Canis lupus familiaris: one gene and its partners. The main gene of each other region encodes a partner of the protein of the gene in region 4 in a complex. Links are inferred from orthologs where the notes say so. Each region holds a gene or a part of one and is shown on either strand. Other genes may lie near its edges.

Evidence for each region.
Region 1: TFDP2 (region 4) and E2F4 share a complex: the UniProt entries of both Homo sapiens proteins name them as parts of the DRTF1/E2F transcription factor complex. The link is inferred for Canis lupus familiaris from reciprocal best matches to the Homo sapiens genes TFDP2 and E2F4.
Region 2: TFDP2 (region 4) and LIN9 share a complex: the UniProt entries of both Homo sapiens proteins name them as parts of the DREAM complex. The link is inferred for Canis lupus familiaris from reciprocal best matches to the Homo sapiens genes TFDP2 and LIN9.
Region 3: TFDP2 (region 4) and MYBL2 share a complex: the UniProt entries of both Homo sapiens proteins name them as parts of the DREAM complex. The link is inferred for Canis lupus familiaris from reciprocal best matches to the Homo sapiens genes TFDP2 and MYBL2.
Region 5: TFDP2 (region 4) and E2F6 share a complex: the UniProt entries of both Homo sapiens proteins name them as parts of the DRTF1/E2F transcription factor complex. The link is inferred for Canis lupus familiaris from reciprocal best matches to the Homo sapiens genes TFDP2 and E2F6.
Region 6: TFDP2 (region 4) and E2F1 share a complex: the UniProt entries of both Homo sapiens proteins name them as parts of the DRTF1/E2F transcription factor complex. The link is inferred for Canis lupus familiaris from reciprocal best matches to the Homo sapiens genes TFDP2 and E2F1.
Region 7: TFDP2 (region 4) and E2F2 share a complex: the UniProt entries of both Homo sapiens proteins name them as parts of the DRTF1/E2F transcription factor complex. The link is inferred for Canis lupus familiaris from reciprocal best matches to the Homo sapiens genes TFDP2 and E2F2.

What each region holds. Positions count from the first base shown.
Region 1 is NC_049226.1:82,754,895-82,757,756, forward strand, and holds the end of E2F4 (transcription factor E2F4), read right to left. Parts: intron 1,842-2,862; coding exon 1,794-1,841; intron 1,603-1,793; coding exon 1,558-1,602; intron 1,457-1,557; coding exon 1,341-1,456; 3' UTR 501-1,340; downstream 1-500. Other genes in the region: ELMO3 (engulfment and cell motility protein 3), read right to left, coding at 31-108. UniProt on the Homo sapiens protein: Transcription activator that binds DNA cooperatively with DP proteins through the E2 recognition site, 5'-TTTC[CG]CGC-3' found in the promoter region of a number of genes whose products are involved in cell cycle regulation or in DNA replication.
Region 2 is NC_049228.1:38,560,401-38,563,900, reverse strand, and holds part of LIN9 (protein lin-9 homolog), read right to left. Parts: intron 2,724-3,500; coding exon 2,590-2,723; intron 282-2,589; coding exon 162-281; intron 1-161. UniProt on the Homo sapiens protein: Acts as a tumor suppressor. Inhibits DNA synthesis. Its ability to inhibit oncogenic transformation is mediated through its association with RB1. Plays a role in the expression of genes required for the G1/S transition.
Region 3 is NC_049245.1:31,987,004-31,990,503, reverse strand, and holds part of MYBL2 (myb-related protein B), read right to left. Parts: intron 2,733-3,500; coding exon 2,445-2,732; intron 1-2,444. UniProt on the Homo sapiens protein: Transcription factor involved in the regulation of cell survival, proliferation, and differentiation. Transactivates the expression of the CLU gene.
Region 4 is NC_049244.1:38,314,548-38,318,047, forward strand, and holds part of TFDP2 (transcription factor Dp-2), read right to left. Parts: intron 3,354-3,500; coding exon 3,191-3,353; intron 1-3,190. UniProt on the Homo sapiens protein: Can stimulate E2F-dependent transcription.
Region 5 is NC_049238.1:8,166,891-8,169,804, forward strand, and holds the end of E2F6 (transcription factor E2F6), read right to left. Parts: intron 2,360-2,914; coding exon 2,212-2,359; intron 1,736-2,211; coding exon 1,686-1,735; 3' UTR 501-1,685; downstream 1-500. UniProt on the Homo sapiens protein: Inhibitor of E2F-dependent transcription. Binds DNA cooperatively with DP proteins through the E2 recognition site, 5'-TTTC[CG]CGC-3'. Has a preference for the 5'-TTTCCCGC-3' E2F recognition site.
Region 6 is NC_049245.1:23,402,024-23,405,523, reverse strand, and holds part of E2F1 (transcription factor E2F1), read left to right. Parts: intron 1-2,320; coding exon 2,321-2,411; intron 2,412-2,791; coding exon 2,792-3,011; intron 3,012-3,500. UniProt on the Homo sapiens protein: Transcription activator that binds DNA cooperatively with DP proteins through the E2 recognition site, 5'-TTTC[CG]CGC-3' found in the promoter region of a number of genes whose products are involved in cell cycle regulation or in DNA replication.
Region 7 is NC_049223.1:75,298,343-75,301,842, reverse strand, and holds part of E2F2 (transcription factor E2F2), read right to left. Parts: intron 2,173-3,500; exon of another isoform or gene 996-2,172; coding exon of another isoform or gene 909-995; intron 499-908; coding exon 393-498; intron 1-392. UniProt on the Homo sapiens protein: Transcription activator that binds DNA cooperatively with DP proteins through the E2 recognition site, 5'-TTTC[CG]CGC-3' found in the promoter region of a number of genes whose products are involved in cell cycle regulation or in DNA replication.

The DNA of each region.
Region 1 (2,862 bases), on a different chromosome or scaffold from region 4:
GATGAATGGAGGCCAGACAGGCCGAGTGACCTGGTCCAGTCGGATGAGCTGCGGGATGGCGTCAGGCTTCTGGACCGCGATCTTCACCACGTTCCGCGGGGGCGCCATGGTCCAGCCGGAGCAGGAGCGCCTGTAGTTTCCAGACCGTCCAACGTCCGGCCAAGGAAGCGCCTGGTCTGGTGCCTCCGAGAACGAGGGTGTCCCTCTGTCCAAGGCCTGGACCCGTGGCCCGCACTCACGGGTCAGGCTCCGGCTCCTGGACAGGGGCCGCGGCCTTCCCAAGGGAGCCGAGACTAGTTCCGGGTTGGAGTCCCGTGGGAAGGCGCCTGCCCTGCCCCGCCCCGGCAGCCCCGCCCCGCCCCTAGGTGCGCCAGGTGGGGGCGGGGAGGGCGGGATACCGCAACAGCCACACCTCCCTTTCCAACAAAGGTGACCCGCCCGGTCCCACCACCAATCCAGCAGAATTGCAGGGAGGGGCCCTGAAAGAACCAGATCAGAGATAGCCTTAGGCATGGTCTTTTATTCACTTGGATACTGTACAAATATTACAATTTTCTTTTGCTGCAAAAAGTATAAAAATAATCTTTATATAGGAATCCATTCGTTACTGCAAATCTTTCTAAATCTCTGCAAATGGCTCTAAATGAGGGTAAATGAATAAACAAGAAGGGAGGGTTGGTCTACAGGGCAGCAGGAGATTGGGCCAATCCTCAGGGGCTCACCTGCCCAGATTTCTAGCTAAAGACCTCTCTGTTCCTTCTGGTTGACAGCCATTCTCCTCCCCCCGCCCCCATAGGTACTCAGAGCTAAAGGTCCAGCAGATGAGGGGTACACAGGAGAGGTCTAGGGGAAGCTGCAGGGTCAGGGGTGGGGAGAAGGGAAGGAGGCTCGGAGTGGTGCTGGCAAGCATCTGGCTCCACCCTCAGCTTTCCTCCCCAGAGTGGGAGGCGTTGGCTGGAACAGGGCAGTGGGGCTGGACAAGCTGCCCTATGGGGATGATGGCAGGTCTTCAGATCTGTGCCACTGAGTGGCAGCCGAGCCTTGGCTCTGAGAGGGCTCGGAGAGGGCATGAGGTGGGGGAAAGCCCCAGAAAAGGAGAGGCAAACGCTCTGGCTCCATGGTGAAGGGGGCTGAGCCCCTTTCCCCTGCTTTCCTAGCACGGTACAGGTGCTCTACTCGTGCAGGAGTGGGAGTTTTGATCAGAACTGCAGTGAGGGAAGGCTGGGGAAGCCAGGAGTCTGTGGCTCTCAAGCCGTGTAGGGGTAGAGCAGGGGAGGTCCTCAGGCAGCCCCCAGGTCACACAGTCTGTGTCCCAGCCACACAGGGAATGTCCCTGTCAGTCAGAGGTTGAGAACAGGCACATCGAAGAGGTCACAGACACCTTCACTCTCGTCCAGGTTGTAGATGTAATCGTGGTCTCCGGGGGGTGGAGATAGGCGGAGGAGGGGGGCAAACACTGCAGAGAGCACCAGGCTGAGGCCCTGGGCCAAGCACAGCCCCCAGCAGTTGCCCAGCCCCCACTCCCACCCCCACCCTCCACCTTCCTGGGCCACCCACCTTCTGAGGACATCAGCTCCTCCAGCAGCTCTGAGCTCATGCATTCTGGAGGGAGGAAAAGCTGGGTTACATTTTGGCTCCTGGCTCTCCACCCACCAAAGCCCATGAAGAGGGCCCTCCACGCACCACCCCCCCATCAAGAACTTTTTGTCCAGGTACCAAACGCAATCACAGGGCCTCAGAAGTGCAAGAAAACAACCATGAGACCCTTACCCCACGGAAGAGTGCAGACCTACCTCTTGTGGGATCAAAGATTTCTGACAGCTCTTTGGGGAGTTCCAGAACTGAAAGACAAGAAAGCCATGCTGGAGGGCACAGAGATCCAGTCTGGTCCCATTCCAGCCCCCACCTTCCTCAGATCTACCACCCATCTTGGGGCTCCACACAGCTGGAGGTGGAGGGCATGCCCCAGGCCAAGCTGGCGTTGTCAGTCTCCCTGGCTAGATGTGAACTCCTGAGTACCCAGGGTACTAAAGGCTCATCGCAGGTGACTGATACGGCCCTTCTAACTCAGAAGTGCTGCAGAAAGGCAGCAGACCCCTCCCTTCACGGGCTCAGTAGGTATGCCCTGTCTGATGGCGGCTGCCCCACTCACTCCTGCCCTTGCTGAGCACCTGCTCAATGCTAGGCTCAGCGACCACACCCGGGACCAGGTCATCTGGCAAAGCAGGCAGACATTCGATAGGCGCTGGTGCTACAGGGTGACAAGTCTGCTACAAAGGTCTGACTGGAGGACACACGTGTGGAGCAGGGGAAAATTAAACTAGCAGAGTGCTGGTGCACGAGGACTGCACATACCAGGTGAGGGGGCTCTGCTCTTACCCACCAGCCCTTAAGAAGCTGTTGGAGGTACTCTGTAAACTCAGAAATGGCACACACAACCTGTGTTTCAGACAACCCTATCAGTCAGGGTAGAGCGGAAGATGCCGAAGAATTCAGGACAGAGGTAGCCAGTAATGACCCTGAGTATGAGGACATGAAGGCAGCGATGGGAGATGTCTGAGACAAAACTCAGTTAATGCAAAGCGAAGAGGAGATGGAAGCAGAATGATGTGCAGGTGTCAGGCCTGAGGGACCAGGGCCAATAGTAGGGTACACACTGACAGAGAAAAGCTAGTTTCAGTTAAGGACCCAGTGAAGGTGAGAGAGGGAACACAGAGGACAGTGTCAGTGAGAAGAGACTGGTGCTTGTGGGCTGAGGAGAACGAGTCCTAGAAGCGAATACCCAAATCGCAGGATAAAAAGAAGACTCAAGGCAAATGACATCACGTCCCCTGGGAAGACACTGCCCCCACTTTTGAAGCC
Region 2 (3,500 bases), on a different chromosome or scaffold from region 4:
ATTCCAGAGTTGAAGCAATTATTTGCTTATTTAATAACTGACAACTTAAAATAATGCAGCTACTTTCTAAAGTTGCTTTAATGATTTGTATTTCATAAAAACCAACTCCCATTCATAATAATCATTTAAATTACTGATGACATTTAAAAAATATTACTTACTGTGATCGGTGATTGGAGAGGAGGAGTATAATGTAATCGTGGTGGAGTCATAAAGAATCGAGAAGGCCGCTGTTTTTGTCCGAAGGCAGCAATTGGCATTGTCTCGTGAGGCTCATTACTCTTTGAGAAAAGAGAAAAGTCCAGAAATCTTGAAGAATTTTACCAATCATCTTAGCTTTATAAACATTACGTTGCAGCTGGAGATGTGTACCAACTCATGTGCTATGATTTATCACAGAATCTATTATTCTACAAAGGTCAGAGGGCTAAAATTGAAGTCCGAGTATGAAAACACTACTTTGCGATCAAAAAGTAACTCACACACACACAAAAAAGTAATTCACAAAATAGAAGAATTAAGAAAAGAAAAAGACCACTGGACGGAAATATTTGGAAAATAAAAAATATTAGTGTACTATGGTTATCTGTGCTTGTTATGGGCTAAAGGCTGTCTCAGTATTACCTTCTGCAGTTAGAGTCCTCTTTTATCTGTCCAGCAAGAAATATCTCATAAAGGAAACTGCATTAATGAACCAGAAAAGCAACTTTCCTTTTTTGAAAGGGGAGGTTGAAAGATTGCATCCTTTAAGGAAAAACACTTAGGATTCGTATACTTTGCTCTACAAATATAGCCCAAATTTTCTCTCCCATTTCTCCTCTTTAAAAAAGTATGTTTAATAAGGAAATGCTCGGGATCCCTGGGTGGCGCAGCGGTTTGGCGCCTGCCTTTGGCCCAGGGCGCGATCCTAGAGACCCGGAATCGAATCCCATGTCGGGCTCCCGGTGCATGGAGCCTGCTTCTCCCTCTGTCTGTGTCTCTGCCCCAACCCCCCCCTCTGTGTGACTATCATAAATAAATAAAAATTTATTAAAAAAAATAAGGAAATGCTCACAATAAACAGTCTTAATTTTTAAAAAGTACATATCAGAAAAAGAAGATTCTTCTATATTTGCACTAAGGAGATAAAGAAATTTTGATTTTTAATTGTAAGATGACAATCCTTAAAAATCAAGTTTACAACAAAGAAATGAAAAAAGAAAGATTAAAAGTGAACAATTTAATTTCTATAATGCTTAGAGGCAAACGATTCTTTTTTTTTTTTTTTAAATAAGATTTTATTTATTCATGAGAGACACAGAGAGAGGCAGAGACATAGGCAGAGGGAGAAGCAGGCTCCAGGCAGGGAGCCCAATGTGGGATTTGATCCTGGGATTCCAGGATCATGCCCTGAGCCAAAGGCAGACACTCAACTGCTGAGCAACCCAGGTGTCCTAAAGGCAAACAATTCTGTTATAAAAAGTTCATTACTGAGGTGCCTAGCCACCTCAGTCAGTACAGTATGCCACATGCAACTCTTGATCTCAGGGTTGTGAGTCTAAGCCTCACAATGGGTGCAGAGATTAGTTAAAATCTTAAAAAAAAAAGAAAGTTCATTATTCAACTTTTTAAAAACTTTATTAGATTGCAGAGTTGGTTGTCTTCTTAAAATAATTTTGACTTATTAGAAAGGTGCATAACTCTCATGACACTGCTAAATCACACATGAGCATGAAGTAATGGCCTAGTAGCTTAAAGGACTGATTCAAGAATTTGAAAGATATGGAATCTGTTCTCACCCTGTCAGGAAACCAGCTCTAGAGCCTTGAATAAATTATTTAATGTACTATGTCTTAAGTTTCATCATGCAAAAAATGAGGGTAATTAACATCTACCCTGCATAATCCTGAGGATAAAATAGAAGAATAAATCTTAACATGCAAGATATTACTTCATATTTTTAAAATAATTTTGCAAGATGACCATACTTTAAAAAAATAGCTAGAATAAAAGTATCTTGTAGCTTATCCCCCAAGGTTATTTAATGAGTTCTGTCACACTAAAATGCTCTATGGGTATAATGGAAGGATGTTTACTTCTAGACAATGCTGAAGACTTGAGTGTAGTTCTGGTCTAGGGGCCTGGTAGGTAGGACCGCAAACTCCTAAGGATTTCTTCCTCCGTGACCTGAAGTCTTGATTCTACCACAAAATACAGTCTGTAGAAAATTCTACACATTTTTTTTTTAAGATTTTTAAAATTTTGGGACGCCTGTGTGGCTTGGTCGGTTGAGCATCTGTCTTCAGCTCAGGTCACGATCCCGGGGTCCTGCGCTGGGATCTCAGGTTGGGCTCCCTGCTCAGTGGGAAGGAAGCCTGCTTCTCCCTCTACCTGTTGCTCCCCGTGCTTGTGTGTGCTCTCTCAAATAAATAAAATTTTTAAAAAGAATTTTTTTTATTTTTTATTTTTAAAGTAAACTCCACACAGAACACGGGGCTCGAACTCAGAAGCCCAAGGGCAAGAGTTACATGCTCTACTGACTGAGCCAGCCAGGTGCCCCATATAGCATATTTAATAGGCATAAAACAGAAGGTATCATGAAATACTTACAAGAACTTCATAGTCAGGGATGGTATGGGTTCCAAGCCCTGCCCTATCAAAAGTTACTCTATAGGTAGCATTAAAAGTATCCACCGCATCTATTTGTCCAGTGAAGAGACCATCATGAACACCTCGTAATCGAGCTGGAAAAACAAACAAAAAGACATTAAGATATTTGGAAGATACAACAAATTGTCAAATTTAAACTGCTCCAATATATATATATTTATAATATATATATTTAAAATATAGAAAGTATAGTATTATTGTCCATTCTAGTTTCAAAGAAGGATTTTAGGTTTAGAGAAACAACAAAAAAAATTTAAATACAACTATAAATGATGATCGCTAATTTGATATTTGAAGTAATCATATATCTACCTGGGAAAAATATTTTTAAATCATTGCTTTAAACCCCAAATTGAAAAAAAAAAGTTGACAGAAGAAATTTAGTTATTATACTCAAGTGAAACACTAGGAACAGTTTAACTACAAAAAAAAGGCTGGGATGATGTTCAGAAAAGATTAATACACTACAGCTAAGATCGTTATCCTCACAAAGGCCTGCCTGCACGGTTGGCATCTTGGAACCTGAATTTCAGGAGTGTTTCCACTGTTCTGATACTAACGGAGGTGGTATACTGTACTTGGACTGTGATTGTCCAAGACAACCATTTCAGGGTACTAGAAATGGACCAAATGCAGAAAAACAATTATAAAACGTTTACTGTCGGGGCACCTGGGTGGCTCAGTTGGTTAGGCATCTGACTCTTGCTTTTGGCTCAGGTCATGACCTCAGAGTTGTGGGATCAAGCACAGAGTCTGCTTTACTCCCTCTCCCTCTGCCCCCCTCCCCCTTGTGCCCTCTCTCAAATAAATAAATCTTAAAGAAAAAAAAAAAAAGAAACATTTACTGTTGA
Region 3 (3,500 bases), on a different chromosome or scaffold from region 4:
TTAAAGGACAATACACAAGCATTAGGGAGGAATCCACAGCCCAGGAGTCATCACCATGAATGTTTTCTTGCATTTTCTTGAGGATTCTTCTACATCTGTATATCTCTATCTGCAAACATACCTGAAGTCATACTGCGCATATGGCAGTTATTTTTAAAAAGCAACACATATGATATACAAAAAGTACAAAGAAAGAAAACTTACACCCGTCAAGGAGCCTAGGAATTAAAACCTAATTGGTGAAGCCCCATGCCTACCTCCCCTTGTTCACACCCTCTCTCTGAACTCAGTATTTACCATCCTTACACATTTCTTTCATTTTACCACTTATACATATCCCTAAATGATAGGATTCTGCATGTTTTTAGCCTTAAAAAAAATCATTTCGATATCCTGTTTTTCTATTTACAATAATAGTACTTAATTCTATTACCTATGAGTTAGAGGTTTACCATTAATAAATCTGTTATCATGTGAAAAATTTCCAACTTTTATAACAAGTTTTACGACTGCAAAATATTCGATCATATGAATGCATCAGTTACTTAACTATTCCCCTCTTCTGTTGGACATTGTTTTTTCCCTTAATTTTTTGTTAAAGACTTTATTTATTCATGAGAGAGAGAAAGAGAGAGAGACATAGGCAGAGGGAGAAGCAGGGTCCCCATGGGGAGCCTGATGCAGAACTCGATCCCAGGACCCCTGGATCATGACCTGAACCAAAGGCAGACACTCAACCTCTGAGCCACCCAAGGCACCCTTCCCCTAACTTTTTAAAATTAAAAATAACATCTTCATGAGCATCTTGGATACAAATATTCTACTGCATTTTTGGGAACTTCCTTGACAGAGACTCCTAGAAATGAAGTCTTAGGCCCGAGGTTGTGTGACCAGGCTTAGGTCCTATGGCTTAGGCCACAGTTCTAGAGAATGTGCTCCATGCACCTATCAGTCATGGATCCTCTGTGGCCACTTCACCTAAACTGTTTCTCACCCCACGAGAACCTTGTCAGACAAGCATTACTTTCTTCCTTTCCAGGCCAGAGAGGATGCAATCTGCCCAAGGTTGCTAAGTTTCTGGGAGCAATTCTGAGTCATGACAAGTCTTCTCTCCTTTGGCCAATAAATTATCACCCAGCCACAGGGCTGCTGGAGACAGAGGCTTCCGCTTTGGTCCCAGGAGGTCTGGCCCTGAGTAGACCCAGATGCTTATGATGGCTGCTGGTCCTTGGGACTCTCGAGAACCTCGGCAGTTCGTTCATAAGGGTGAGGCCAGCTTGGGCAGTACTGTATGCCAGTAGGAATTCAGTAAAACTGAGCTCCCCTCTCGCCCTCTCTGTGCCTATCAAGTTGAAGAAGCAGCAGAAAAATCTGAGGATGAAGGCTGGTAACACCATGAAATGCCAACAGTGCCAGGCACAGCGTGGGTCCTACTCTCATCCAACTCTCCCTTTAGGGCCTGAATCAGGAACTGTACATGGCAGCGTCAGAGATATTTATTTAATGTATTGATAAATAAATCAGACCCGTTTCTCATGCCACTCTGAAATTTCTCAGAGTAGAGGGGATACCACAGCTAGACCCTACAGCGGGGACCAATCCCAGCCTCTGGAGGCAAGAGGCTGGTCAAGACAGTGAAGACCACCAACCTTACTCACTGTGACTGTGGAGACACTACTTAGCCTCCCTGAGCCTCAGTCTCATCTACAAAACAGAGAAAGGATATACCTCACAAGATGCTGTATGGATTATACATTAAGCCCAGAGCCTGGCATTAGGTAGATGGTCAATAAACAGTATTGTTATTCTTAGCAAGGATGGGAAAGCCCAAGGAGGAAAGTCACTGTGGGGTGTCTCCCCCTGAATTCTGGGGGGATTCTGCTGTCCCTAGTTGCCAGGCCTCTCACCTATCACCTCCTGAAAACTGTTCCACACGGCAGGCCTGGCTGACACAGCAAGGAGCTGGGATGTCACATCAAGAGATGCAGCCCCCAGCGAGGAGCTCTCTCCCACGACGTACAATCCACAGCCACTGCAGCCTCAGAGACAGTGTTACTGAATTAGCAAACCCCACTCGGCACTCCAGCCCCAGCCCTAAATCTGGTGCCACAAGCACCATGCTCTCCTATGCTGTGTTATGGGCTTCAAATGCCCTCCCCTCGTCATCCTCAAGGTCTCAGTGCAGTGCCACCTCTAGGGAATCCTCCCACCCCACCTAAACTGCAGAGCAGGAGTCAGGAGTTGCTGAAGGCAGGGACAATGTGGCAACTATCTGTGTCCCCAGGCCCTGGCTCCCAGTGGGGCACTCAGCACCAGCTCAGGAAATGACAGCAGGAGGGAGTGAAGAGAAGGATGCCCACCCACGAGAGAAGCACTCCACGAGAGAAGCACTCCCAGTTGGCGGGTGCTCTGGGCCCACTCTGAGGTGCTATAACCAACATTACCGACTCGATTAAGTCCAGGGCTTCTGAGAGGCTGGACCCCACGGCAGGGATGAGGAGGTTTGCGGCCTCCACCACCCACTTGTAGGGCAGGCTGGTTTCTGGCGAAGAACCCTCCTGGTCTTCACGTTTAGGGAAGTCCTCCAAGGGCTCTGGTGTTCGCACTCCACCCAGGTCTGCAGGGACAGCTCCCTGCTCCTTAGAAGTAGTGGCTGCCGTGGCCTCCTCCTCACTGCTTTCCTCTTCTTTCATGGCAGGAAGCGCTGGGGGCCAATTGGTCATAAGACTTCCCTGTTGGACACAAGGGCACACTGTTCAGAGTTCCGGTTATAAGATACACATTGTATAGTATTCTAGCTAAAAATGCACAACCTGGGGCACCTGGCTGGCTCAGTCTGAAGAGTGTGCAACTCCTGATCTCGGAGTCGTGAGTTCAAGCCCACATCGGGCATAGAGGTTGCTTAACATAAAAAAAGTTTGTAAATAAAATAGTTAAAAGGTACAACCTGATCTAATAAGGAAACTCAAATGAATCTAAATTGAGACACAGATGAGGTGCCTGGGTGGTTCAGTCAGTTAAGCATCCAACTCTTGATCTCAGCTTAGGTCTTGATTTCAGAATTGTGAGTTCAAGGCCCTGCACTGGGCTCCACACTGGACATGGTGCCTACTTACAGAGAAAGAGAGAGAGAGAGAGTCTATAAAATAACTGGCATTATCTTACACTTCAAAGATACCAGCATCGTGAAAGGTTAAGAAAGGCTAACGGGCTATTCAGATAAAAGTAGACAAAACAAATGATAACTAAGTGAGAAGTCTAGTCCTAGACTGGATCATGGGCAGGAAAATGGAATATAGATTATAGACCTGTTAGAAGTCCTAAATCAGTGCTAAAAGCTCTGAATTGGACATTAGCATGCTGTGAGTATGTAAACCAAGGCCCTTATCCTTAAGAAATACAGACTCCGTATTAAGGGATGGAGAGGTAAACACATGTAACCAACTCTCAAATGGCTCAGATAAAAGAGTAGCATCTATATACAGAAAGATAAAGCAGGG
Region 4 (3,500 bases):
GGCACTGTGGAAATAATGATAATATAGTAAAAAAATACCAGGAGGAGACAACAAAATAGGCTTGCTCGTGTTCTCCTTGCTATTTTAAGGGGTATGGGATTCAAAGCAGATTAACTATTTAAACAGATGAAGTAAATAGTAACACAGGTTTTGGCACAATATATTTATTTAAAGTCATAAAAACAAACTGTAATAATATTACTCTTTTAACAACTACCACTAAGATATTCAATCTGTATCTGTGGTAGACAAAAGATGGGACATGCAAGTAGATAGAAGCATATTAACTTTTTCCCTTCATAATCAACAGATATTGGTTTATAGGTAACAACAAAAGAAACAAAATACTGAAGTTACTTAAAGTTATAAAGATAACCAGTTAAAGAACTAAAGACTACAAACCTTCCAATTTATATATTTATAAAAAAAAAATAACACAGCAGTGAATAGACAGAAAACCCCCAACTCTTGCTTGTATTCAGGGATGAGGATGGGGTTGGTAAGTTAAAATTTATATTAGATGATAAAATGTGTTAAGAAGAAATGCCTCGGTACAGTGACATCTGAATAAAAATTGGAGAGAAGAGAGAAACCATATGGCTCCTTAGCAGAGATTCAGACATAGGAAATAGCAAGTCTAACAGTCTGATAAGGAACGTACCTGGCATATTCACCCCGAAACAAAAAGCAAACAAAAACCCACCAATCTCATTCATGGCTGTCAGTGTAAAACTCCTAAATTTTCAGGAAACACACAGAATTTGATTGAATTCAATATCCATTTCTGAATTTTTTAATTAAGAAAAATGAAAGAAATATTCATTTAAAAGATCAAGTTATGGTTGCTATAATTTCAAGATAAAACTTTTATCATAAGGTGGCTAGAGTATAGTAACTGGGAGAGTTCCTAGTAGGAGATGAGATGAGAGAGGTAATGGTGGGCTAGATCATATAGGTCTTGTAGAACATTTTGAAAATTTCCACTTTCACTCAGAATCAGAATGCGACATACCTTCTCTACAGGTGCCAGAGAAAAGAAAAAAAATGCATTACCAAATAATGGCTCACAAGAAAAATCTCAAAGCAATTTTAAAAAATATATAAATAGTTCAATTTACAAAAAAAATCCCTATTACCTGGAAATATAAAAATTCTAATGCCATTCTTAGGTCAGAGAGGAAACTAAAACCAAAGTTGCAGAATATTTAAAGAGTAATATATCAGAATCAATGGGAAATGGCTAAAGCAGTGCACATGAGGATAAGTCACAGCTATAAACATTTTCATTGGGACGCCTGGGTGGCTCAGTGGTTGAGCGTCTGCCTTTGGCTCAGGGTGTGATCCCTGGTCCAGGGATCAAGTCCCACATCGGGCTCCCTGTGAGGAGCCTGCCTCTCCCTTGCCTGTGTCTCTGCCCCTCTCTCTGTGTCTCTCATGAATAAATAAATAAATAAAAAAAAAAAAAAAAACATTTTCATTACTAAACAAAAATAATCAAAGTAAATAAAGTATATATCATAATCTACAGGATAGAAAAATAACAAAAGTAACTTCAGGAAAGAGAAGATACTATTAAATGAACATAGGAAAAAAAAAAGAAATTAACTACAAAACAGAAGAGTCCATACAAATTTAGGAGATGGTTCTTTGGGAAAAATAATTGCAAATAGTTTTAAGAACATGTATGAAATGGAGGATTTTCTAAGAAACCATAAAATACTAAAGGAGACAAAAATTCTAAACAGGCTAATTACCAAAGTAAAAATGGAGAATGCTATCTAAGCATTACCCCCCACCAAATCACCATGCCTAGATGGTATCAGAGGTGATTTCTATTCTATAAAATGTCAGGGAAGCAAAATACACATCTAATGCTATTAAACCTATAATGGAGTAAAGTGGAAGAAGGAAAAAAACCCTCTAAATTTTAAAAAGCCCAGCATAACACTGCAAATCAAAACTGCAAAGATGGAAAAAAAAAAAAAAAAAAAAACAACTGCAAAGATGGTAAAAACAAAAAGATTACATCAATCTCATTTAGGACTGTCAGTGTAAAATACCCAAATTTTCAAAACTACACAAAATTGGAATAAATTAAATATCCATTTCTGATTATTTTTAGTTAAGAAAAAAGAAACATTCAGGATGCCTGGGTGGCTTGGCGTGTGGTCCCAGGATCCTGGGATCGAGTCCCACATTGGGCTTCCTGTAGGCAGCCTGCTTCTCCATCTGCCTGTGTCTCTGCATCTCTGTGTCTCTCATGAATAAATAAAATCTTAAAAATAAATAATAAAAAATTAAAAAAAGAAACATTCATTTAAAAAATCAAGTTATGGATGCTATCATTTCAAAATAAAACCCTTGTCATAATTAAGATTGGAATATTAAACATATTTCCAGTAAGGTCAAGAACTATTTTAAGAATTGTGGAGTATATATAATATGATCACATTTAAATAAAGTGCAAATTGATCTATAATGATAAAAAGCAGATCAGCAATTGCCTAGGGATAGAGGGAGAAGGAGGGAAGGAGGGATACATTACAAAAGGCAGAAAGAACCTTTTGGGAGTGACAGAACTGTTCTGTAGCTCTCCAAAATAAACAAAATCTTAAAAATAAAATAAAATAAAATAAAATAAAATAAAATAAAATAAAATAAAATAAAATAAAATAAAATAGGGAATAGGTTTTATTATGTGTATGCCTAAGGAACTTTGGGGATGATACTAAAGAATCTGGTAATAGTGAATATGCCTTTGTGGAGAAAGATTAAGGTCTGTGGTTAAAAAGAGGACTTACATGTTCCATAAATATGTCTATAATGTTCTATGAATATTCTCTGCCTGCTGCTCCTCCTGCTGTGCTCTCAAATAAACAAATAAAATCTTTTTAAAAAAGTATGTTCCTTTTGTAACTCCCCAAAGTATATTTAAAAAATACATGCTAATCTTTATGTTTAAATAGATAATAAAAGAACCCTTTCTAAAACAAAACTCAACAGAAGAATTCCCCAAAAGACAATATGAAACCCTCACGTAAAGGAGTTGGGGATTCCCTAGCTTGTCTGAGTCCTTAAAAAAATGACACAGTCAAAAAAAAAAAAAAAAAAAAAAAAAAGACACAGTCAACCTAGAGATACACTGTTCTATCACTCATCATAGTCAATGTCAAGTGCATGATCTACCTACCGAATCAGCTGCCAAATGGTTATTTGAATTGGTGAACTCTGATACCAGCTCATCGGCCACTTCATTGTATGACGTTGTACCTTTCCGCTGAACTTTCTCACATACTTTCATGGAAAAATGTCTCAAGCCTTTTCCATTTTTATCTCCTTTTTTGCTTCGTTTACTAAAAGAGAAAAAAATGCATATTTATACACCAGACTTCCTTTATGAAACTATAAAGTAATGTGAGAATATACTAACTTGATTTTTGCTTTAGGTGGTCAATTTTAAATTGAATTAGAGATGAGGAAATGTTCTGAACTTAATTTTT
Region 5 (2,914 bases), on a different chromosome or scaffold from region 4:
GCTGCCAAAGGTCCTTCGCCTACCTCATCTCATTTTACCCTCCGAACAGTTTGTAAAGCGGGACAGTTGTCACATTTCGCAGTAAGGACCTACCTGGTGGCCGGGAAGGACGAGGTCACTCTGGGCAGCGCTACCGCCCCCCGCCCCCGCCCGTTATTCCTGCTCGGGGAAGGCTTTTATTCCGTATGACGGTCACAGGCCTCTGGTCTCCAGCCTACCCCCCGCTAGCTGCCACTTCCCAGTGGACATCTGCCCAAGTCCCCCGCGAACGCGGAGCTAAGTGAACCCTAGACACTCAGCAGTATTTTTCAAGTATTTTCATTTGATTCCTTTTTTTGAAATCTTTTTTTACACGGTCTTAACGTCAAGTTGCTTCGAATCTCTCTCGGAATGAAAGGTAAGTTTAAAACATGAATCTGAATGCTGCTGACGAGAATCCCGGACGGTAGACAAGCCATGGTTACTGGTCCTACTTTACAATCCACTCACTCACTCGCTGATTTGTTTAAAGATTTATTGAGCACTTCTGATGTGCCAGGCATGGTGCAAGGCGCTGGGTGTAACAATGATTAAGACAAAGTCCCTCAAGGAGCTCACAGTCTAATGGTAAACTACGGAGTAAACTGAGGCACAGAGTGGTAAGTGACTTACCCAATGAGGTAGAGAGCTAGGTACTTGGAAATGTGGGAGTAGAGCTGGAGAGAGGGCAGGGTACAGCCCACTCATTAAAAGCAAACCCTTCTGATTGAAAAGCAAGGCTGCGTACAGAAATGTACTACAAAATCTGCTTGCAAAAAAGGTTAAAACAGTTTCCAATTGTCACCATGATTAAATCCATGTCTTGCAACGAATGAAGCCATTACCTGATAGCATTTCTACACTTGCCCCTAAGGCTTCAGGGCACGCCACCAGTCTGCTTGGACACAATAACCCTGCAGGGAGCTTGAAATCACGAAGTATCAGATTTCAATTTCAGCACTGGGAACCATATTGAAATACTTTAATTAAATCCATGAGCTTTCAATGTATAGCGTTATTTATGATACTTCTACATGTAGAAGTTTGGAAAAAAACTTTCCTCTAACCCCCACTGAGAGGATTCTAATAAGTTATAGATACCACAGAAATTAGAGAATTTGTCTGTTATTTTCCATATATACATTATTTTGGCTGTACAAGGGTGAAAAGTTTTACTTAGACATATTACATAAGTAATCTAAACATTATACAGATATATACAAAGACGTCACATTCGGATGCCTGCGTACACCCATCCAACGTACGACAGCTAACTGCAGACGTGAACCCGTGTAAGGCAATTTCTTTTGTTATAATGACACATGATCCTTGAAGAAAAGCGCAGAGTCCGCGAAGCACTCACTGTCCACCTCAGGCCTGACCGTCTGCCTCCGTGGTACTCTGTGAAGTTATTTCAGTAGGCAAGGGTCCATTTCACTGACAAAAAGCAGTGAATAATTATAAAAAGAGTCGTTTTCAAATGCTGAAACCATAATTCTCCAGTAATCGCAGTAGTGAACTACTCAAAGCCACTACTGGCCTTGATGCTGCTGACAGAAGCAGAGAATTTCATGGACGATTTATTGCTCTGAGAATCAAATGTGATGCATAATTCATCCCACACAGGAAGCTCCCCAAGAACTCGGTGCACGAATTCTCAAATGCTATCAGTTGCTTACTTCAAGCAATTCTTCACTTTGCTGTGGAGGATTTTCTTCTGAAAAATAAGAAACATGAAAGAAATTCTCCTGAGTTAAAAGCCAGACAGGTAACAGCACACATCATTCAAGTGCTTACAAACCCCCCAAGACCTCTGGTCAGGAACCGTACTGTTGTGCTAAGGGCCTGAGGCCAACGCCGTAAAGCTCACAGGGGAAACGGGGCTGAGCTGCACACCTGGAAGCCCCGGAGAGTGCACACGGTCTGCTCTGCTCCGACACTGCCAGCTGGCACCGCCATGGGGTCCACTACCACCCTAAGTGTCCAAGGAGATCAAAACGACATGGAATGTAACGATAGAGTTGTTAGAAATCGTCTAAACTGTAGTGAAGAATGACACTGTAATTCTGTAACTCCCGTTTTTATGATCAGAAAGTGTAAAAAAATCAACCACAATAAGACTGCGTATGTGTGTGTATAATCAAATACCATCAGAATCTTAAATTTTCCTAATCACAAACTTGGTATATTTACCTTTATTGGGGGGTTCTGGATGTTTGTTTTTAGATGAAGAGGTGCCTGCACCTTCCGACGATTTATTACTAGAGTGGCCCTGCTCCACCTCACATAAATAAACATCGATGGGGCCTCTGGTGCTCCTTATGTGTACTGTGATAGAGTCCTGGCAAAAGACACATTAGCATGAATGCGAGAATTCATTAATTATACTGTTTCACTTACTAAAACTACCAAAGTTTCAATTCAAGTGGTATTCTGAAAATTTAAATTGGTTTTCTATCATGTATTCGAGAGAATCATGTACTTGGCTTTAATCACTCCAGCAGACTGAGCTGCTGGCCAATTCATGCTGCCGCGACAGCCACTGGATTATCAGTCATGACTTTGGGGCCGTGATGTCATCATCTCTGTACTAAAGAGCCCGTTTTTTGATACTCAAGGAGTCGACCCCTTCTAGGAATCTGTACTTAAGAGTCCAAAATCAGTACTTGGATGACATAGAAATCTAAAACAACCCATAGTCTCAAATGGCAAGGCTGTGTTTAGATCTGATGGCTGCAAAGGTACCGAGTTCACTCAACAGGCCGTCCTCTGCGTGAAAGTCAGAGGATGGGATCCAGACAAAATAGACCTCAGTAGCTTAAATATTCAAAAAAACTGCATATAAAGGACTATTAGTTATTATTCACATCTATGGCTTTGGACCTTTAAATTTACT
Region 6 (3,500 bases), on a different chromosome or scaffold from region 4:
TTCACCTCTGCCTTTTTAGGTTCCTGTGCCAAGCTCTAGAGTGTGGTGGCTGAAATGGAGACCTGCTTGAGCCCTTGCTTTAGGGTGTGGCATTGACCTGTCATCACGGTGGGCATGGGCCTGAGGAGCAGGGAGATGAGGGGTGCAATTGGCAGGAGGATGCTAGGTTCAGGCCTAAGGGGTAAGGCCGGAGAGGAGACACACATGGCTTTTGGGGGCTGGTCTCTGGACGAAGCTGCAGGGAAGCAGGACACGTAGTAGGTAGGAATATGGGCTCTGGGTCAGCCCATTAGGGCTCACATCCTGGCCCTATCTCTCATTGTCAGGCCTCTTGGAAAGTAGAGGTCATCATGGCATCTGTTGCAAGGTCTGGGCAGAGGGTTTGATGACTGGATGCAGGTAAAGCCATTATTTAGCAGGGCTCGGTACACAAGAGACACTCGACATGTGTGAGCACTTCTATCCCCGGGGCACCTGAGGGCATCCATGAGTGTGCGATGAGAGTGAGGGCTCGTTGGCACGTGCAGAGGTTCACACAGCAGACGGGAGTTAACACCAGGCCCTGCGAACAGTGATGATTCCATAATTCCGGTCCAGCGCCTGCCTCGGGGCACTGCCTTCTGGGTGAGACAAATACATCTCCAGAAGTTGGTTGCAAGAGATATTGTGGGGAAAGGTCAGGTTTGAGGCATTTTGGCCTGGTCTCTTGCAGGATGAGAAGACCTAAGTAAGGAGTAAGGTGCCTTCCCGCAGAGGTGTAAGAGTTGGTGTGAAGGCAGGTGGGGCATTCATGGGAGGGAAACGGCTCAGGCTAACACTTGGAGGCACAAGTTTGTGAGAAAACACGTCTGAGCAGAAGTTTACGTGGAGAAGTGGCAGAGGAGGGCACTAGGGTGGAGAAGGATAGGTGGAGGCAGGGAGTTGGCTGAGTGGTCCAAATGGGAGGAGATAGTGGCTGTGGCGAGAGGTTTCTCAAAGGCTACCAGATGGCTGCCCAGTGAGGGTCTAGCTTGGGAAACCCCGTGGGTGGGGGAGGACTGGGGTGGGTCAGGATGGGCCTGAGATGCCTGAGATATTCTGGGGCAGTCTCCATCCTCCCGTGTGTGTGACTAAGAGGGTGTTCTGGACAGGAATCCTGGCTTGGCTGCTTCCTGGCTGTCTGACTTGGGCCTCTCTGGGCTTCAGTTACTTTATCCATAAAGTGGAGCCATTATTGTGCTGCTAGTCCATAGGACGGAATGAACTAACGTGCAAAACGTGGTGAGTACTAGCTGCCACCATGTTCACAGAATCCAGAGAGAGAAGGTAACTTGCCCAAGGGACCTGTATCCTAATGGCTTAAAACAACAAGTCCTTAATACAGCACTGTGTGTTAATATACTGGCATTGAAATTAAAAACAATAAAAAAGGGTAGCCCCCGTGGCGTCAGCGGTTTAGCGCCGCCTGCAGCCCAGGGCGTGATCCTGGAGACCTGGGATCGAGTCCCATGTCAGGCTCCCTGCATGGAGCCTGCTTCTTCCTCTGCCTGTGTCTCTGCCTCTCTCTCGCTCTGTATCTCTCATGAGTAAATAAAATAAAATCTTAAAAAAAAAAAATAAACCCCAATAACAAACAATTATTATCACACAGATTTTGGTGGGGCAGGAATTCAGAGGAGACTGCTCAGTGCTTCTGGCGCAGGATCTCTGCTGAGATCGTAAGCCAAAATGTTGGGCGAGGCTGCAGTCATCAGAAGGCGTGACCAGGGTTGAAGGACTTGTTTCTAAGACTGATGTTGCTACTGGACAAGGCCTCAATGCCTTGCCACTCAGGCTTGCGTGACATGGCAGTGGCTCTCCCCAGAGTGAGTGGTCCATTATAGAAAACAAGGAGGAAGCTCCAGTGCAGCTCTGACCCAGTCTGAGAAGTGACTTGTCATCACTTCCATCCTACTGCTCTTGAGAAGCAAGTTACCAGATCTGGTCCATATTTAAGGGGAGGAGAATTAGGCTCTATTTTTTTGTTTTGTTTTGTTTTGTTTTGTTTTGCTTTTTTGAAAGGGAGAGTATCAAATTTGCAGACAGATTTTAAAACTGCCATAGGCACCCAGGGAAATACTGGTGGAGCTAGAACTTAAACTCAGGTCTTCTGCGCCCCATGGTTGACTGATCTGTCCTGTGCGGTAGGACTGTGTCCCCTGGGATCTCCCCATCCCTCATACACATAGGCGACATGATAGAGAAAGTGGGGCAGGGGTGACCCAGGAGCACCAAGCCCAGAGCCCAGTCTTTGTGGCCTCGCTCCTGGTTATTAAATATCATCCCATTGTTTCTGCCACAGGTAAAGCGGAGGTTGGACCTGGAAACTGACCATCAGTACCTGGCTGAGAGCAGTGGGCCAGCCCGGGGCAGAGGCCGCCACCCAGGAAAAGGTACCCACAGAGCTGGGGCTGGGGCAGGCCCCCTGACCGGGCCCAAGTTGGGGGTGTGGACAAACATGCTTGCAGAGTAAACTCTGATCTGTCAGGCCTGGACTGGAGCCAGGCCTCTGGGGGCCCTGAGGGGCAGCTGGAGTGGCTGCCTGGCATGGCTTCCCCAGGCCCTGGGGGGTGGGGAGTTCCCCAGCCAGAAGAGGAATGTCTCGTGGTTGGCAGGCAGCAGCCCCAGGCCCTCATGGTTGGTTTTGCCAAGGGGAAGGAGCCATCTGCCCATCCCACTCCCATCTTTCGGCCCTGTCCTGCACTGCCAGGAAGGCTAGCCCACCTAGGTGTGGGGGTGGTACTGAGGGAACCCTCCTTGCCTGGACCCCTAGGTGTGAAATCCCCAGGGGAGAAGTCACGCTATGAGACCTCACTGAATCTGACCACAAAACGCTTCCTGGAGCTGCTGAGCCGCTCGGCTGATGGCGTTGTTGATCTGAACTGGGCGGCTGAGGTGTTGAAGGTGCAGAAACGGCGCATCTATGACATCACCAACGTCCTCGAGGGCATCCAGCTCATTGCCAAGAAGTCTAAGAACCACATCCAGTGGCTGTAGGTACCAGCCCTTCAGGAGGGCAGGCGGAGGCTAAGGCCTGGGGCCAGGCCAGCATGGAGGAGCTGATAGTGATCCCCACCGTGGCTGTCCGCATCCTCATCGTCTAGCTGGGGAAACTGAGGCTCGGAGGGGGAGGTGGCTTCTCTGAGGAAGTTTCCACAGATTTCACATACGCAGCTCAACGCACCCTCGTGTATTTCTTCGTCTGGGGAGTCACCATCCAGATCAGGATAAAGAACATGTCCGGCACCACAGAAAGTTCCCTGTGCCCTTCCCAGCTGTTGCCCATCCCTCTTAGCTCATCACCTCTTAGGTGATGGCTCTTATGCCCTCTGTCACCCTCAGTAGGATTGTTAATTCTTGTTAATTTTTTTGGAAAGACTTTATTTGACAGAGCACAAGCAGGGGGAGCAGCAGGCAGAGGGAGAGGGAGAAGCAGGCTTCCTGCTGAGCAGGGTGTGGGTCTCCATCTCAGGACCCTGGGA
Region 7 (3,500 bases), on a different chromosome or scaffold from region 4:
TCTTTTAGAAAAGGTCAGACTGAACAAAACATAAACTTTTAAAAAAAAAGAAAAGCTCCCAAGTACAACACCAGCCATCACGTTCTGGTCACGAGAGTGGCATATGGCGTGGGAGAAGCAGTGCTGGCTTGGGTTGGAGTCCTGACCCCCACTCACCAGCAGTGTGCCCTTGGGCAAGTCACACAAGCTGCCTCCTCAGTGAAAGGGGGATAGTGTGCCCTACAGGCAGGTCCCCTGAGAGAGCACAGAGGCATCTGCTTTGTAAACCGGGAAGTGCGCCACAAATAGGCTCCTGATGATGTGGGTGAGGCTGCTGCTGCCCTCTGCCCCTGCCCGCCCAGCTTGCCCTCGGAACCCCCCACCCCCGCCCCCACCCCATAAGCTGGGCTTACTTCTGGGGCTGGGAAGGCCCTCCACTCTAATGCACTTCCCCTTGGGAGTCCGGAATTCAGGGATGGCTGGCCTCCCGATCCCCTCCAGGTCCAGCTTCCTTTTGGCCTTGGAGACAGGAGAGAGAGAGGCAGAGTTTGAGAATCATTCTCCTTCAGTCTCCCCCCCACCCCAAGTCGGGGAAAAGAGGCCACCAGCAGCTGCTTTCTCTGCCTCGATTTACCCCCAGTCCTGGTGAAACCTCATTGCACTTGGTGAGGACCCAGCAGCGACTGGCCAAGTGAGCCTCCAGGGGAAAGGGAGTCCCATTTTCGGAGGAGCACACGACACTCTCATCCTGAGGCCCAGGTACTCGAAGGTTACGGAAGCCAGTCTGGCCAAGACCTCAAGGTTCCTTAATTACAGGCCCCAGGGTCACTTCTACATCCGCCACCCCCCACCCCCACGCCCAGAGGATGATGCAGGGAGGAAGGAGTGGGTAGGACTCAAACCACATCAGGCTGGGGAGAGCCTCCCACCCCAGCAAGTGCAAAAGCAGCTGGCCCGCCTGCCCTGGTGCCCATCACAGCCCCACAGCTGGCCCTTATCAGGGTGGGGCTGGGCATCCGCCCGGGCCCAGGGGACTTCCTGGCTCAGTGCCACACCCCAGGGAGGTGCCCACTTCGGGAAGCAGAGCAAACATTCCCCACCCCCATGTTTGGGCTCCAGCTCCAGGGCCCCGGGGCCCCAGGGCCTCCTGAATAGACTCCATTTGCCATTCTTTCTTTGCCGAGAGGGGCAGACAATGAATCCTTCCCCTGCATCTCAAGGACAAACAGCTGAGGTCCCCCTGCTCCCCCTGCCTGTTCCCGCCAAGCTTGGGAAACACCTGCTGGGGAAATCAAACCACAGACCCATCTGCTCTTCTCCACCCCGCTGCCACCAGGCCCCAATTAGGCCCAGAAGCTGCACTGGCCCGGAAGGGGCCTCTCTCCTGCTAGGGCTGGGCAGGGGCAGGGCTAGGCTACTGGGGCACTGGGGCACAGGTCAGAGGCCTGGACCTGACTCTCCCGGCTCCTTCACGGGCTTGCTGTGTGTGTGGGACTCGGGGAAGCGCTCCACATCCAGGAGCCTCAGTTTCCTCCTCTGTAAAATGGAGCAGAGAACACCCACCTTGAGGGACCGTGGTGAGGAATCAAGGAGATAAGTCCTGCAAAGTGCTCAGCCTGTGGCTCAGCACACAGTAGGTGTTCAGAACATACAGAGTCCCTTCCCTGAAATCCAGGCTTGGTGTCTTCCTTGACACACCCTTCAGGGGCCACCAAGCCTATTTTCTTCCTCTTCCCTAATCACCCAGACACCTCTAAGTTGGTTGGGGCAGAGAGGTCTATTTTAACCTTTGACAGTGAGGTCATGCTCGGCAGGGCTGAGACTTCTAACTGCTGCTGAGCACAGCTGGGGTGACAGGTGTGGGAAGTGGTGACAGCTCTTCCGGCCATCAGCTCCCCTCCCCGCTCCTGCCTCCTCCAGGAAGTCCTCCCGGACTGATTCCAGGTCTGACCCCAAAGCCACATACTAGGCTGTCTCAGCTCTATCCCACACCCATTCCCTGAGAATTTGCTGGAGTTTGAGCAAAGGCCTGGCTATGCCCACCTGCTCCCATTACTTTATGCAGGCATACCAGTTCCCTCCATCTCACTGTCCCTCCCCTTGTCCTATACCTCTCCTTCTTTTGAGAAGCCTGGATATGAGGCTTCCACCCCTAGCCAAACCTGGACATGATCCAAACACTTCCCTGCTCATTCCTCTTGAAGTCTCTCTGGAATATTCTTTTTTTTTTTTTTAAAGATTTATTTATTTATTTATTTATTTATTTATTTATTTATTTATTTATGATAGACAGAGAGAGAGAGAGAGAGAGAGAGAGAAGCAGAGACACAGGAGGAGGGAGAAGCAGGCTCCATGCCGGGAGACCGACGCGGGACTCGATCCCGGGACTCCAGGACCGCGCCCTGGGCCAAAGGCAGGCGCCAAACCGCTGAGCCACCCAGGGATCCCCTGGAATATTCTTTTCTTAACCTCTCAGCTGCTGAATCCCAGATTCTAGGGAATGTGACCTATCTTGTCTCTAGAGAAAGGCCCAGTCATTCATTGAGATCTTCCACATGCCCCGGGCTAAGCCCCAACATTCAGCGCCTCACAGAGTCTCCCCAGCACTGCCAACCCCCATTTAACAGCTGAAGTAACCGGGACTTGGCGAGCACCAAGGTCTTTATCAATCCTGGTCAAAGTTGTCCATCCCAGGACCGTGCACACATCCCTCAAGAAGAATGCCAAGAGCAAGGAGAGGAAGGGAAGTCAAGCTGAGTTCTACCTGAGGCAGAGCCGGGACAGCCCAGAGTCACCCCAACCAGGTCCACCTCCCCCGCCCAACAGGAGCCAGGCCCTGCTGAGTTCACAGAACACAGGAGGAAGAACCTCACTACCTGAAGAGCGGGTACAAGATAGGAAGGACCTTGAACAGAATATCTGCATCGGGCCTATCACGTGCTCATCAGTCCTGCAACATCAGTATTGGCAATCTCTCCTTGCAGATGAGAAGTGGAGACTCAGAGAGGGTAAGACACATGCCCAAGGTCACACGGGCAAAGAGTAGAGCCAGAGTTTAAACCCAGGACTGTCTGGCCCCCAAACCACATACTAGGCCATCTCAGCTCTATCCCATGACCATTCCCCAGAATTTTCTGCAGTTTGAGCAAAGACCTGGCTGTGCCCACCTTCCCCCATTACTTTATGCAGACATACCAGTTCCCTCCGTTTCTCAGTCCCTTCCCTTATCCTATACCTCAAGCAGCAAAATGTCCCTCTTCCAAGGCCATCTCCCTGATACCTTAGGGCATAGCCCACAGATGGGCCTGGGCCTACAGAACAGAGGTGGCAAAAGACAAGCCCAGAAAGATGAGAGCCAAGGAGAGCCTGAGCAAAGGCCTGGGAGTCACATCCATGGGGGTTCCCACCTGGGCCTGCCTCCTTCTTAGCTGGGGGAGCTCAGCAAGTCAGTTGACCTCTGGAGCCCCACCTGTGAAGTGGGGATATCTGCTCCACCTCGTCCGGGATTCAGCGACAGTGCT